Linked DNA regions of Astyanax mexicanus. The protein of the gene in region 1 purifies or fractionates together with the protein of each later gene. This does not show direct contact. Links are inferred from orthologs where the notes say so. Each region holds a gene or a part of one and is shown on either strand. Other genes may lie near its edges.

The links.
Region 2: the proteins of slmapa (region 1) and stk3 purify together in Homo sapiens (affinity purification with western blotting; 3 studies listed by BioGRID and IntAct, with this or other methods). This does not show direct contact. The link is inferred for Astyanax mexicanus from reciprocal best matches to the Homo sapiens genes SLMAP and STK3.

Annotation. Positions count from the first base shown.
Region 1 is NC_064431.1:3,494,156-3,502,061, reverse strand, and holds the start of slmapa (sarcolemma associated protein a), read right to left. Parts: upstream 3,098-7,906; 5' UTR 1,490-3,097; exon of another isoform or gene 1,405-1,489; 5' UTR 1,313-1,404; coding exon 1,115-1,312; intron 1-1,114. Other genes in the region: dennd6aa (DENN/MADD domain containing 6Aa), read left to right, coding at 5,884-6,117, 7,451-7,489, 7,697-7,739. UniProt on the Homo sapiens protein: Associates with the striatin-interacting phosphatase and kinase (STRIPAK) core complex, forming the extended (SIKE1:SLMAP)STRIPAK complex.
Region 2 is NC_064410.1:43,530,861-43,538,588, forward strand, and holds the start of stk3 (serine/threonine-protein kinase 3), read right to left. Parts: upstream 3,058-7,728; 5' UTR 2,883-3,057; coding exon 2,860-2,882; intron 2,457-2,859; coding exon 2,376-2,456; intron 1,084-2,375; coding exon 955-1,083; intron 822-954; coding exon 707-821; intron 610-706; coding exon 445-609; intron 347-444; coding exon 179-346; intron 89-178; coding exon 1-88. Other genes in the region: nt5c1aa (5'-nucleotidase, cytosolic IAa), read left to right, coding at 7,556-7,699. UniProt on the Homo sapiens protein: Stress-activated, pro-apoptotic kinase which, following caspase-cleavage, enters the nucleus and induces chromatin condensation followed by internucleosomal DNA fragmentation.

The DNA of each region.
Region 1 (7,906 bases):
GATCAGTGCTGAATCAATCAATTATGCACACAGGAAAACATTAAATAAGACAATCCTTGCCGTTATGAAATGACTTTAAACCACATGACCTGCCTCGCGTCTTCCCATCCAAAAGGTGTTCTATCAGGTTGAGGTCAGGTTTCTCTGCAGGCCAGTCAAGTTATTTGCACACCAAACTGTCCATCCAAATATTTATGGAACAGAAATGGGGCATCCCCACACTGTTCCCATAAAGTTGAGAGAAAGAATTAGTTCCAACCCTGTTGGTATGCTAAAGCATTAAGAGTAAGGAAGTTAAGGAAGTCCCACATCATAAGCCTCCCTCCACTAAACTTGACACTTGGCACAATGCACGGAGACAGGTCCTCCTGGCAGCTGTCAGTCCAGTACAGAGGTGGCATGCTTTACATCACTGCATCCCATGCTTTGCACTGTGCTTGGTGATGTAGCTTGGTAATGTATGCCGTGGATGCAGCTGCTCAGCCATGGAAACCCATTGCATGACCCTCTCTACACACTACCGTCTTTAAGCTAATAAGAAGGCAGTAAAATTTGAAGGCCGGGAGCACTTGACTGTACAGAAACTAGACATGCACTAAATGCACTATGCTATCAGCATCCACTTGCACTAGGTGGCCTAGCACTTTGTGACTGAGTTGCTGTCTTCCCCAAACACATCACTGACAGTAGACGGTGGAATATTTAGTAGTGAGGACATTGTCCAAGTGGACTTTGTTTTACAGGTGGCATCCTATCAGGGTATCACACTGGAATTCACTGAGATCCTAAGAGCCAACCATGCTTGCACAAATGTGCAAGGCCATGAAGTGATTGGAACACCTGAGTTCAAGTATTTGGATAGGTAAGGTAGTGCTTTTGGAAACGTAGTATACTTAGCTACAGTTCAAACAAGTCAGTATAGTAAAACGTAAAGAAAATCACAAAACCACAGCAGGCAGTCACGAAAAAGCAACCTGCTAGTTAGTTAACTAAATCAAAACGGGTCTCATTTGGGACAAAAACATCACAGCAAGCTTGCTATTTCATACACATGATCCAGCTGGACCTGTTTGTGCATGCCTAAAGCACTCTCTCACACTCACACACGACTCACCTTGCCTGTCTTGTGGTCGAACCAGACGAGAGCGTGATTCCTGGACAACACCTTGCAGTCGAAAGTGGCGTTGTTCTGGGCTGGCCGACACCGGGCCACCGACCGCCCGATCTTGACGGGCTCGTCCAGGTAGACATGACGCTCCTGAAACGGGTGCGAGTTCGGGCGGCAGGTGAAGACGGCCAGCGCTGAAGGCATGGATGAAGACGACGGCTTGGGAGTGCTACTCCAACCAGAGGCGAAAGGCAGGGCTTCTTGATCCAGAATGGCAATCCTTCCACTTTTCCTATCTTTTAGGGAAACAGTCGGTATCGTGTTTGGCTCGTGTAACGCAAACGTATGCACATGCACATATTTCCAAATCGACTAACTAACCTCGCTTACATAGCTCGCTAATGTCCAAAGGAAGAGCCAGCCAAGCCCCCCTGCTCCCCTTCTTCTCGCAAATCCACCATGATGTCAAACAGAACCCAAGGCGATGGAGCTATAGCTAGGACTGCACCTTCTCCACACGGCCATAAAAATGCATTGCTTTGGGTTTAAACGTCAACAGGCCACGATTACCTTCAGATTCTCACAATATGAGCTTCCACCACCTTGCTAGCTAAGTGGCTAACCATAGGATCACAAAAACACAGATTCAGCCTTAAATGTAGCCTTGAACGTTAAATCTGGCTTGTATCTTTTGCTAGCTTGCTGGCTAGTTATGGTAGTCAACTTAGTAGCAAGAAACCTGTTGTGTTGAGGTTTGTAAACCTACACTAGCTTAGCTACTAAACCTACAGCTTCGCAAGCTTTCTAGCCAACCTAGGTGTAAGTTACTATCTATTTAGCTATCTATCAAAATAATCCGTCGTCTTTGTTGGTGCTTCAATAAATGAAATAGAGGAATTCGTTCAATTCAAGTGCATTTAAATAACAAGCAGCTAACTAAGTTAAGAGGTCAACTCAAGTTCTCTAAACTGGAATAGCTCAAGTTAGTTAACCACTGCCCACTTTGAAATTTAGCTAGCTAATGTTTATGTCCCCAACTCACTAACTATATTTTCTGTTAGAACTAGTTAAGTTAGTTTAACTTGTGTCTTACACACTTGGGTAACTTGTATCGAGTATTTAGTTATCTCAGTTAGCCAACGTTAAATTCAAAAAACAATTTACTCTCAATAGTTAACTAACTTAACTGTAAATGTCAAGCTCTCACCCACCACTTGCTTAGCTATTTAGACACAATTCAGGCACAAATATGTTTAAACATCTTTGAAATTTAGTCTTAATCGCTTAAGACTTCAAAATAGGATATTTAATCCGATTAAATTGATTTATTTGCGGGCTGCTCATTCACACATACAGAATAAACTGTTTGGTCTCCATGTTCACAAACTGTTAGTTAACTTATTAACGCTACCTGTCTCCGTAGTTATGGTTTAAACTTGGGCAGCAGGCTAGCAAGAAATAGCTAACCTAGCTAGCTAACGAGATTTCCAAAAAGCCAGTTAGCTAGACAAGAGGAGCAAAATATGTGAGGTAGAGGCTAATAAAGCTAACTAGTTAGCTTTAATTTGTGGAAAAACACTCTTATAATCCCAGCTGTCGACTAGTCTAAGCTCTAAAATGCACAACAAATTCCTTAACTCATAAACTTTGCGATACAAAATCCCCCCTACTCCGCTTGTTAGCTTAGCTTAGCAGCAGTAGCTCACTAGCTTCGCGGCTAGCCCAGCCTAGCCTAGCCCAAGATGCTAAGCTAGCTAGCCAGCCAGCCAGCTAAAAGACACGGAACAGCAGTTTCTGGTCCTTTCCCCGCCACGCGCAGGCCGGCCTCCGGGTCCGTTAGAGGCTCCGCGCCCCGGAGACTCTAAGCAAGGTGTGTAAAGTGCTCCAGCCGGTCCGCGAGTCCGTCAGCGGCTATTCAGACTAACTTATCTCCGGTTATCCTCCTCCGCAACTCGCCGCCGCCATACTGGAGTGGAATACACAAACCGGCGGGGCTCGCGAAGAGGAGAGAGAGAGGGAGGGAACACCAGCGCTGATGCGAAATAATTGTCCAATCACCAAATAGATCGGGTGACCAAGTTAACCAATGGCATGCTAATTATTAGAATTGCAAATGAGGTTCTTGGATAGGTCACTCACTCTCTTTCCGCCCACTGTGTGTATTAGCCCTTACTACAGTGTGCAGCGTTTAAATGCAGAATATAAATAAATGTAGTAAGAAAGAAAGAAAGAAAGAAAGATAGAAATTGGAAAAGGAACGAAAAGTACAGTGACTGAAAAAAACTGATCCTTATATTCCTCCAAGAAATAAAAAAATCTGTTTTTTAGGTGCTCTAGGCTGTTATATGTTTGATAAGGGACATTACTAAAAATCATAATTGTGATTGTATTAATAAGTAAGTGAATCTGCTAATGTCAAAATATAATGAATACATTCATAAAATTGGCTCTTTCCTGACTTGCTTTTTAAAAATCAATATTTTTCTGAATACAAATCAAACAGTCCTCCAAACCTGTTGTTTCGTTATGTTTGTCTAGTTTTTGCGTCTATTTTCAAACATGCAGAATTTGGGATTGATTTCTGTTACTGATTTCAAAGCCCACACATTTTCAGAATGTAAATAAGTTATTTTACTGCAGAAAAAGGGTTTTGGATCACATACACCTGGCATTTTAAGGGGTTAACTTGCAATTTCTGAGGCTGGTAACTCTGATGAACTTATCCTGTACAACAGAGGTAACTCTTGCTCATCCTCTCTTGGGGCGGTCCTAATGAGAGCCAGTTTCATCATAACATTTTTGATAGTCTTTGCCTCTGTACTTTAGGATACTTTAGGATGATTGACTGACCTTCATATATATTTTTTCTTTACTTAGTTAAGAAGTTATTGCCATAATATGGATTAGAATATTACTCAGATAAGGCTAAACTAATTCCATATATTTTTCTTTATAGTTTGGATAATCACACAGCAACCTAGTTCTGATACATCAGCTAACAGATGCCTCTGCTGAGCAGCATCAAACTAGAAGTGATGAGATTACAATTATGATAATTATAACAGGCCAAACAAAGTGTTTTTATCACTAAAACATTAGCTTCAAGTTCATTAAGGGGGTCATGGGTTAGACAGAACATCTGTCATACCCAGCAGAGCATACTGAAGTCCAAAATCTTAGGACAGCTAATCCTATTAGTCCAGAGGGTCTTAGACGATTTATAGGATGAATCAGTTGTGATATTCAGGACAGTGCATCTCCACTCCCCAATAAACTAACGATAAGGGGTTTAGCTCCGTCTGCATGCAGTCCAGACTGAGACCAGTTTCTGTTTGTTCTGTTTGTTTGTCTGGGTAAATGTCTCTGAGATGCATGCGTGCGTTGGCGAGGAAGTGAATTAGAACAAATTAGTAAGTGTGTTCATGATTTATTATTTATGCAAATGAAGTATGTGTTACATTTGAGTCATTGCACAGAAGTTCAGATATTAATCAGCTTCTTAAATTTTGAAACTGTAAAGCATGTACGTGTTTATATGTAGAAAAGACTGAAATATTTTCTAACAATAAAATTCCATTCCATTCCGTGTTTGCATCAGCATATCTGGGAAATTGGAAAACTAAAAATCAAATATTTGCTATGAGTTTTATTTTTAATCTAAATTTTATTTCAATGTTTTTTTTTTACACAAAATAAAGAGCAGCTGGTTATATTGCTTGTTATATTTCAGGTCAAAACAAAGTTTTAAAGTTTAAAAACACACCAAAAATATATATATTTTTATTTTTAGAGAATTATTGGAGAAGACATTAGACACTGTTCTATAACGTATAACCTATAATGTATTAATGAGGGTGGAGATTGTTTTATTCATTTTTAATTGTGGCTGTTATGATTGGTATTATATTCATAAAGAACAAGTCTTGAAGAATACGACCAAATAAATCATAAAAAGCATTATAATTGTTAATAACCCACATTTCTAAAAAGCTGTGGTGGATTTGTTAACAAACAATTGTGAAGAAGAAATGGAAGCCTTCAGATTCTATAGAGTTTTTTCTTCTTTGTTCATAATAACCAATAATATGTGTTATAGAGTCAAACCAAACATATTTTTATTGGTCCTCTCTCTGATTATAACTTTCACTACAAATATATATATATTAATATTTTGAATTAAAAATAAAAAACATATCTTTTTGCTGTAAAATTAAATATTTTATATATATATATATATATATATATATATATATATATATATATATATATATATATATATATTTTTTTTAATGGCTAAAGTATAATATAACATAAAACTGTCTTAGAATGATTAATAACCCAAAGTACCCAAAAATTACCCAAGTTATGATGGCATTTTTGACAAACAGAAAGCCTTGTGTGTTATTTATTTTATTTTCCCATGTTTTATTTGTTTGTAATAATTTATTATTTTTGTTATAAGGTCAATAAATTGTACAATATACTGTACAATTAGATTATTATAAAATAATTTTATTTAAAACTTAACAGTTCTGCGATCTACAAGTCATGTCCACAGTATTAACCCGATTCCTTGTGATCTGCAGATCTGAGCTATCTACCGTACGTTGCTGCGTTATCCGCTTTTTTTTTTGTAAGTGTACGTAGGTAGCGTAAGCGCCGTTCTGAATACAGGAATACGAGCCGCAGCGTTAGTGGGCTAAGCTAGCTGGCTAAGTTAGTTTAGCCTTCGAAGTGAGTCCGAGCCGAGCGAACGGGCACCCCGGGCTCCAGTCATGGCCTTGCGAGGGTCGGAGGAGGTGGAGGAGCGGATGGAAGAAGCCGAGCAGGGCGAGGACCGGGAGCTGAAGATTTCTCCCGCGGAGGAAATGCCAGCGGACGGGCCTGGAGAGGACGAGCCGGAGCCGGAGCCGGAGCAGCAGCTGCTGCTGCCGTGGGACCGCTTCTCCGCCTGGCTACACTGCATCTGTGTGGTGGGGTTTGATCTGGAGCTCGGACAGGCGGTGGAGGTGATCATATTCATCTTATTATGTGTCATTTTATTAATACAATATATAAAAAATGAATAGGTAATGATAAATAGGTTTATTTTGAGTGGCCTGGATGGTTAGCTGACAAGCTGAAACTAGCTGAAACCATAACTAGGCTTCAAATAGCTATAAATGGCAAATCCAGGTCCAGAAAGAGCGAGTGTGCTCCATGTTTTTGTTCTAACCGTCTGTATAGCTCTGCTGCAGCTCCTGTGTTGCAGAGGTGGCCGTGCAGTTAAGACAAAATCCGGGAACGGATTTTTAATATCTGGATGTAGATTTGCCACCACTGCTAAATAGTTAAAGCTAGCTTAGCTAACTAGATAGTCTGTTAATTAATGAATGTTAACAGATATTTAGCAATATTTATTAGCTAGTAAACTAGTTGTTGTTTACTATCTAATGAATAAGTAAGTATTTAGCAGTCATGAAAACTTTAAATGTCTTTAAATATGTAATAATGTAGTTAGCTAATCTAGCTTGCTGGCTAAGCTAACGGTAATATCTATAGTCTTTAACAGTAGCTAGCCTTTCTGTTAGCCTAAACTGGCTAGCTAGGTTAGCCAAACAAACACCCACACACACACACACACAAACAACTACACACACTTCCACACAGAGAAGTTAGATTTAGAGGAAGTTTTATGTTACCTCCCTTTGTGGTTATATATTTTCATTACATCAAAATTAACTAATATTAGCTATATTAACGTTAAATAATTGCTGTAATATAAATTACAGTTTTATTTTTTATTTGTGGCTGTCATGCTGTCATGATTGTTCTTGATGCTGTTTAGATAAAAATAATTTTTGTCTGATTTATCAAATGCTGTGATATAATATTCTTACTATACCACCTAACTCTGTCAGTGTGTGATTTCATACATGTGGTGACCTTTTTACATATCGATATCGGAATATGCAGAAGTATATTGTGATATTAATTTTGCCCATATCGTCCAGCATTTCTATTTAAAATGACCAGTTCAAAGCTACATAACCATGGACTATCCTGATGTCTTTAAACTTGCTGTTTACCTGTGTTTGGTTTTGACAGTTAAACAGTGACACCATTAGTCAACAGGGTCAGGACTCTCAGAGTTCCAGTCCTAGAGGGCCAGTGTCCCTCAGATATTGGTGATTTCTCTGCTTAAACACACTGACTAGCAAAGCTTATGAATGGCTGCCAGAGAGACTTCAGCCCTCCAGATCAGAGATTTTGACCCAAGTTGACAGCGTACAGTAAGATTTGCAGTGCATAACCTGTAACTATTTTGGAGTCTTAATGAGCTCTAATTCTGTTCTTTTGTAGGTTATATACCCTCACCATTCAAAGCTCACAGAGAAAGAGGTAAGAACTGTTTCTTCTCATCTAATGCATTTGGTCTGTCAGGGTGTAGGAATTGTACTGCAAAAATGAATCGGTAGAAATGGTTTATGTATGTTTAACATGTTTTCAGATATTGGAAACTGTATAAATCCTGAAAAAATATTTACAGTTATAGATGTTTTTGGTTGACATGTACACAATTTGTTTCCAACTTCTTTCTTATTTTAGAAAACCAGCATCTGCTACTTGTCCTTCCCAGACTCCAACTCAGGTAAGCGAAAGAGTTCTTCTCTGAGAGTTCATCAGTTTTGTTGAAGTTCTGCCCCATTAAACTTGCTCCTACCTCACCACTGACTGCAGGATCAGTCTGAAATGACTATACATTGCAGTTCTGGGTCATACTAATCTTTTTTACCACATTGCTTCTACAGTGCAAAC
Region 2 (7,728 bases), on another chromosome or scaffold:
ATTTCTTTACAAAATCTGTGAAATCATCACTCCAAAGCTCTGGCTTCCTGAAGGTTGGTGGGGGATTTGTTGGAATCATGAAAATAGCCTAATAAAGAGGAATGGGGTTAGAAAAGTATAAAAGAAGCATTCTTTTCACTATTCAACATAAACTTTAAAATGCGTACATAAAACTCACTCTCATTGGATGAATATCTGCATAGGGAGGCTTGCCCTCTGCCATTTCTATGGAGGTGATGCCAAGGGACCAGATATCTGCCACACAATTGTAACCGATCTCCTGAATCACCTCAGGAGCCATCCAGAAAGGAGTGCCAATTACAGTGTTCCTCTTTGCCATTGTATCCTTTGATAGAAAAGGAAACATAGCTCAAAATGAGCATACTTGTGTATCAGCACTGCAAATGAATGTCCCTTCCCAAAAAAAAAGCCCTCAACACTTACAGTAAGCTGCCCAGCCACTCCAAAATCAGCAAGTTTAGCATGCCCCTCAGTGTTAAGGAGAATGTTCCCAGCTTTGATGTCCCTGTGAATTTTCCTCATAAAGTGCAAATACTCAAGGCCCTTCAAGGTGGATTTGAGGATGGTAGCGATCTCATCCTCTGTGAGCTACAAAAAAGGGGAAAAGGGATTGTTAAGTTTACACTGAGACCAAAATCAAAGCAACTTCCCTTCTTTCCAATAACCATGTGATAAATGTACTTACTGTTTTATTACGTAATCTGATGATATCAGACACAGAGCCAGCACCGCAGTACTCCATAACAATCCACAAGTCTGTATTCTTGAAATAACTGCCATAGTACTTCACCACATAGGGACTAGACAAAGGGGGAAAAGCTTATTTGAATTTCTTAAAAGTAATGCTATACATTTCTAAAAAAAAATTATATCTGTATCCATAGAACTACCTATGTAATATACTCTGTGTAGTAGAGGGATGTGAACTTTTACCTGTCACATTGCTGCATGATAGAAATCTCCTTAATGATTTCCTGCAGGTCAGACTCCACAGGAACCTGCTTAATGGCCACTACCTGGCCTGATTCTTTGTGAATGGCTTTAAATACACTGCCATAGGACCTACACAGACAAGTAGCAGATTAAACAAGCAAATTAATTTAAAATTCATCAAAGACATCTATCTACCTGATAACAAAATACACAGGTCAAACTATCTAATCAAACACAGACTTCCCTTTATTACAAATGTATTAGATATTTGGTGTTCAAAGCTGGCCTATGTGCAACTGGATTAAAAGGTTGGTTACACCTAACAGAGAATCAGAGGTGTTTATCTGTACACTTTCTGAGTAAACTCTCCATTTATATGCATGGTTCATGTACATGTAACATCACGAGCATGTTTACATTATCACTTAGTGTAAATGTAACCATGACAATAACAACAGCATCACGTGATGCCATATTAATAATAATTAATAATAATTAATAACATAAATAATATTAATAATTATATTTTAAATGTCTAAGTATAGAACACAAACAAGATATACACGTTTGACCATAATTGAATCATGTTGAATCAATGATTAATTATTGTAAAGTCAATGTGCACACAAATTCTGATGTTGGAGGTCAACATTGTTTCAATGGATGTTGAATGGTGATTCACTGTCTGTTTGCTATCTTGGTCTTCATTGCACATTTCATTTTATTCATCAATGTAAAATACAATACAACAGTTAAAATGAACTGTATACTGAAAGCATTGTAGTCACAAATTTAATCTAGTATTATTTATTTGTTTGTATTTATTATCTATTTATTATTTTATATTTACCATCTGCACCACATTTATGCTACTCCTTTTTAAATGTAAATCAAGTCAGGTTAAGTAGTTTTACTGTCAATACTGCATATGTACAGGACATTGAAATTGAAACATGGATTGAAATTACTTTACTCTCTTTCCCAAAGGCACAAAACAATAGTACAATAGTGATGGGGGGATTAAGAGGGAATGGCAGTACCAGTATAAACACAACCTGTATAACCAAAAGTGTAAATTCAGGGGTATACATATAAATATGTATAGGGATATACAGAAATATTTAAAAACATTTAAATAGAATATAAGGGATATAATAAGTTCTTCCTGAGAAAGTGGCATATACACGGAAAAAAAGTAATCCCAGTGAGTGGAAAACGCCTTAGCCAGGCCAATAAAAGTTGTATTTAATCTGAACAACTACTTCTGGGTTTGAGTCAGTGAAATGTATTTTTCCTGTCTCATTCATACAGTGCAAAACTGCAGACACAATCCTGTCCTGACTGATGGATTAACTAGTCAAGTTAGCGAGGAAAAGCGAATCCATTATATTAATTAAGTGAAGTAATAGGCATTAACTTACCCTTCTCCAAGTTTCTCGAGCACATCGAAGACCTCCTCGGGCTGCTTGGTTAAACTGTCCTCACTGAGTTTCTTCAGTTTACTGTCAGAACACATAATAATAGGTTTAATAACTGAACACATCCAGGTAGAGTAAACTAGCTTGGAGAGCTGGGTGAACTACTGCCACGTTTTTTGTCGTAGTTGGGTTATAGGGACAGGCTCCCTCTGACCTGCTGACGCTTTCAGTTGCTACTGTAAACACTGGCTAGCTCAGGCTAGGCTAGCTAAGCTAATTTAGCAATATAAGAAACAGAAACAGCTGAAGGAAACGGGTAATCTGAGTATATAAACCCGGAGTAAACTAGAATCTAGACATCTATGGATCTGTAAACTTCACATTCAGAGCAGTGAGAAGATCTGAGACAGGAAATCTGGGTGATATGGGAGTCCGGCGGGATATCAGGCCTGTAAACAGCCGTGTTCACAAACTGGGCGATACTCACTTTTTAGGTACCGGCTGCTCCATTGCGCATAAAATAAAGAGTAAATAAAGAGCTAGGGCGTTCTGTCTTATAAACTCAGAATCCTAAAGAACACAGGGAAAACTCATGACCGGGGAACTTGTCGCTAATTCTTCTGTATCTGGAAAAACACTTGGCTCCGCTCTTCCTCCCCGTTTACTCAAAACCTAATGAAGCCGCAGACAACTGACACTCAGGCACCCTTCAAAATAAAAGTCTTAAAACACACATTTTCCTTTTAATAGATTTATGTTTGAGTAAAATGAACGTTGTTGTTTTATTCTTTAAATAACATACAACATTTCTCCCAAAATCCAAATAAAAATTTTGCCATTTAAAACATGTATTTGAATGAATAAGAAATGACTGAAATAACAAAAAAGATCCAGAACTTTCAGACCTCCTATAATGCAAAGAAAACAAGTTCATATTCATAAAGTTTTAAGAGTTCAGAAATCAATATTTGGTGGAATAACCCTGTTTTTTAATCATATCTTCATGCATTTTGGCATGTTCTCCTCCACCAGTCTTACACACTGCTTTTCAATAACGTTATGCCACTCCTGGTGCAAAAATGTAAGCAGTTCAGTTTGGTTTGATGACTTGTAATCATCCATCTTCCTCTTGATTATCACAGAGGTTTTTAATTAGGCAAAATCAAAGAAACTCTTGATTTTAAATGGTGTTTTATTTTTTCCAGAGCTGTATATAACCTGCACCTTTCTTTTTAAATTTATTTTTGTATACAATACAATCCAACAGCCTAAAATAGACACAATGTCAAATACACAGCATAATCAACATCACAATTACATAAATTTTTTTTTAACAAACCTAAACAAACAAAACAAATAGAATAAAGAATATTGGGAATCAAATAAAATTGAAAAACTTTAAAATATCAATGGATTTGTGACATTTTTAATTTTTAATTTTTCAAAATTAGTCAGTAAATGTATATAATTATATAAATCTCAATAAACAAAAGTTTGGAATAAGGGTATCTTTTTAGCAAATTTAGTTTTGTGTATAAAAAAATGCCCACAAATTATAATTAAATTTTCTATAATTGGTTTTATTATGGTCAAATGAAGGGTCATCAAAAATAAAATATATATTGGACTTTGAGGGGATTTTCCAAACAAAGCAAGAAAAACCACAATAAAACCTTTACAATGGATTCTGTGGCTCCTTTACAATGTAACCTGCATTTAAAACACAGAAAGAGAGAAAAAAAAAACGTGCAGTATCATTTCAAAGCAGTTCACAACATTTATAAAGGAAATTTATTAAAATACTGTGGCGGCTCTGGGTTGTGTGTGTGGCTGCCTGTAGGCATGGTGCGAGGATGACAGGGGTGGGGCATCTCCCTTCGGAGGGGTTATGCAGAGAGGGTGGGCACCACTCTGGATCTGCCATCTGGGAGACACACAGCTGGGTTGGTGGCCTTTGGGCTATTTTAGGTCTGTGGGTTAATGGTTTTAGCTCTCCTAGTCTTGTTAAAGGCTGTAAGTGAGTGGCAAGCCTGTTCAATAAAGGAGCTGTTGAGCATTCAGCATGAGTCTCACAAGTCTTCCTTCCTCTTCCACGCCACAATACTATATAAAAGCAATTTTTTAATAGCTAGGATTTTGGTGTACATGTGTGCTTGTAGGTTAGTATAAACAGGTTAATTTTTCAGTTAAATATAATTAATAACAATATAATATAAATGCACTACATTTCAGTAAAATCTTATATAACTGCTCAGTAATAAATATCAACCTCAAAGCAGAAGTGATACAGAGACACTTTAGTAGCACGCTCTCTCTCTCTCTCTCTCTCTCTCTCTCTCTCTCTCTCTCTCTCTGTATATATGCAGGTCTATAGGAAGGAAGCGGCCTGTTTATTTATTTAGCTATGTACTTAAGTTATTTATATGTGTCTGTTCAAGGCATGGATATCACATTCACTCCACTCTATTGGAAGTTCAAATGAGGAGACACTGTCTATATATACAGAAAACGAAATAATAATAATAATAATAATAATAATAATAATAATAATAATAATAATAATAAAGAACATCTGATAAGGTTGATGATGGAAAATTATTCTGTCATCAATGTTAATTTAAGGAAGGTTTTAAATGGTTGGGCTGATCTCTTCTACACTCCCAATGCTATTAGGTGAACATAATAAGATTAATATGAATAATACTAATAATTCTAACCTAAATTAGAAGTTTAAAATAATTATTTTCTACAAAGTACAAAGTACAAGCTATAACAATAAAATCCAAACATACACATATATACAAATATACATATTTAATGTAAGTTGTTTAACACAAATTAATTCAATGTCAGTTTGCTATATTGGTCTTTAATGTACCTTTTATTTTAGTTACATGATCTTTTAAATGATAAAATACATCAGATAAAATTAAAAGTATCCTTAGAGCATCATATTTACAAGTTCAACCTAGAATTATTCCTTTAAACATGTTTTATTTGTTTTTATAAGCTATTTTATAAGCTTTTATGATTTTGAATTTCTCCTCTGCACCACATTTATGGTAATCCTATTTGAGTGTAAGAATATTTTAAGAAATATTGTTCATTATAACTCTTTAAACCTTTATGCATCATCCTGTGAAAATTATTACATCAGTGTGAAAATTAAATAATAAACTAGTAAAATAGTAAAAACCATAAATAAGAACATAACATCTGCTCTCTGGTGGACTAGAAAGGTACATACAGATTTCCAAAGTCTGAAACTACTATAGTACAATTTTAAAGGCAACTCATGTTAAAGTTTTGTAAAAACATGCTGTAAACAATACATCCCAGTATTATTTGAATTCAGTGTTATTTTATTCTTTTTTATGTCACTCATTAGTCATCATGTATAAACACAGTATGTTACACTAAACAACCCAAGGCCGTTACTGTTACAGTGACATTACAGATGACATTAATTGTTGACATTAATTGTAATTGGTTGTTGACTGATTCAGAAATAAAGTGCCTGTATTCCTGCCTCTCACAGTGGGTTCTGACAGCGTCAATTGCACTGTCAGCACAGCATACATACATCACACATCACAGCAAATTGCCCTGTCAGTCAGGGCCCATGATCACAGTCAAGGCAGAATCAGAACAGCCCTACACACACACACACACACACACACACAGCTGTATGCAAAACATGTTTACCAAATAACACCAAATGAATTATTTAACATGACGTTTTAGTTCATTTTAATGCATATTTATTGTAACTTCTGTGCAGAAGTTTGGATTAGATAACATAAGATAATAATCATTAGTCCCACATCTGAGATAATAAGTGTTGTAAATGCTCAAATTTTACATATATTTTCTGTAAACCTCTTCAAACCCCATGCTAACAACCAGGACCTACAAGCCACTGCCTTAAGATCTAAATGTGATTGAAACCCACAGGACAGGGAAAGGCTATTAGAAGATAGCCAAGGGGTTTCAGCTTGTGGTTTATGCAGTGAAGAATGTCATTAAATAATTGCAGTTCAGGGGAACTGTGGAAGTCAAAATGAGATTTGTAAGTCCAGCAATAAACAGAAATTATGTGTTTAAAAGGAACTGGATTTTTGTACTAAGAAGACATTGTCAACTGTAAAGCGTGATGGTGGATCTAGCAAGCCTTGGGTTGTGTTTCAGTAGCACTGAGAAAATTAATTTGGATACTAATGCAAAATCTGCCTAAAGAGACAAAACACTTACACAATCTAGTAATAGACCCTAAACAAGCTTAAACAAACATGCTTCTCAGATTTCTCAGAACTAGAGGCCTTTTGCAAAGAAACTACATTAGCTGAAAAACAAATTTAGTTTTATTGTGGGTTTTTTTTTCATATTTTTCATATTTTAATCCTGCTTCTGATATTTGTTTGCATTGTTTGTCATCATTTTTGTCAAAGAGGAAAAAACAATAACAACAACAACAACCATTCATCAACTATCAGAGCTATCAGTAGTGGTAGTAGGAGGAGGAGAAGGAGGAGGAGAGTTTTCAGGCCACTAAACAAGTGCATGAATCTTCTCCCCGACAAAAGCCCTTTTGTGCTTTAATTGAAAGGTTTGGACTATGTCTTGACATATTGCCCATATTGCAACAGTTCAGATCAGGTTTAAATATCTTCATTATATTGGTCGTATTACTGTTGCCTGAGTAGCTGGAAACACATACACAGCATTTGGTATCCTGAAATAGAGGGGTATAGCTGGGAGGAGAGGGGTGGACGTGTGTCTGTGTATATCAGAGAGTGAGAGGGAGGGAGAAGCGGGAGGGGGCGGATATCAAACCAGAGCACAAGAAGCAGATTGCGGGCACCGCGTCAGAGACGAGAGGACACACAACATTACACGGCTCATAATTCCCCAGCCAGAGCAACCAGAGCAGCAGCACCACCAACAGCAGCAGCAGCAGCGGCAGCAGCAAATCCTGCACCTCCAATAAACCCTACACAACCCAGGAGCAGAGACCTAAAAGAACATCAGCAGCATTAACAGACCTTTACAACATGGGGGTCATATAGAGGGCAACTGTCTGTATGTGTGTGGATGTGCAGAAGTGAGTGTGTATGTTTGTGAGCAGAGTTTGAGTGTGAGTGAGGAACCCTCAGAACAGCAGTTAATGAGTGGAGTCCAGAAGAATGAGTCTTGACCCCGTGCAGGTCATGAAGGGCCAGGACCCCATGGCCCTTAGCCCTCCGCCAGCTTCTAATGGAGACAGCAAAGTGTCCTGGGATGAAAAAGAGGGCTTCTGTGACAGTGTGGGTCCCAAAAAGCCCAAATCAGTAAGTTCTGATCACTTCGGATCTTGTTT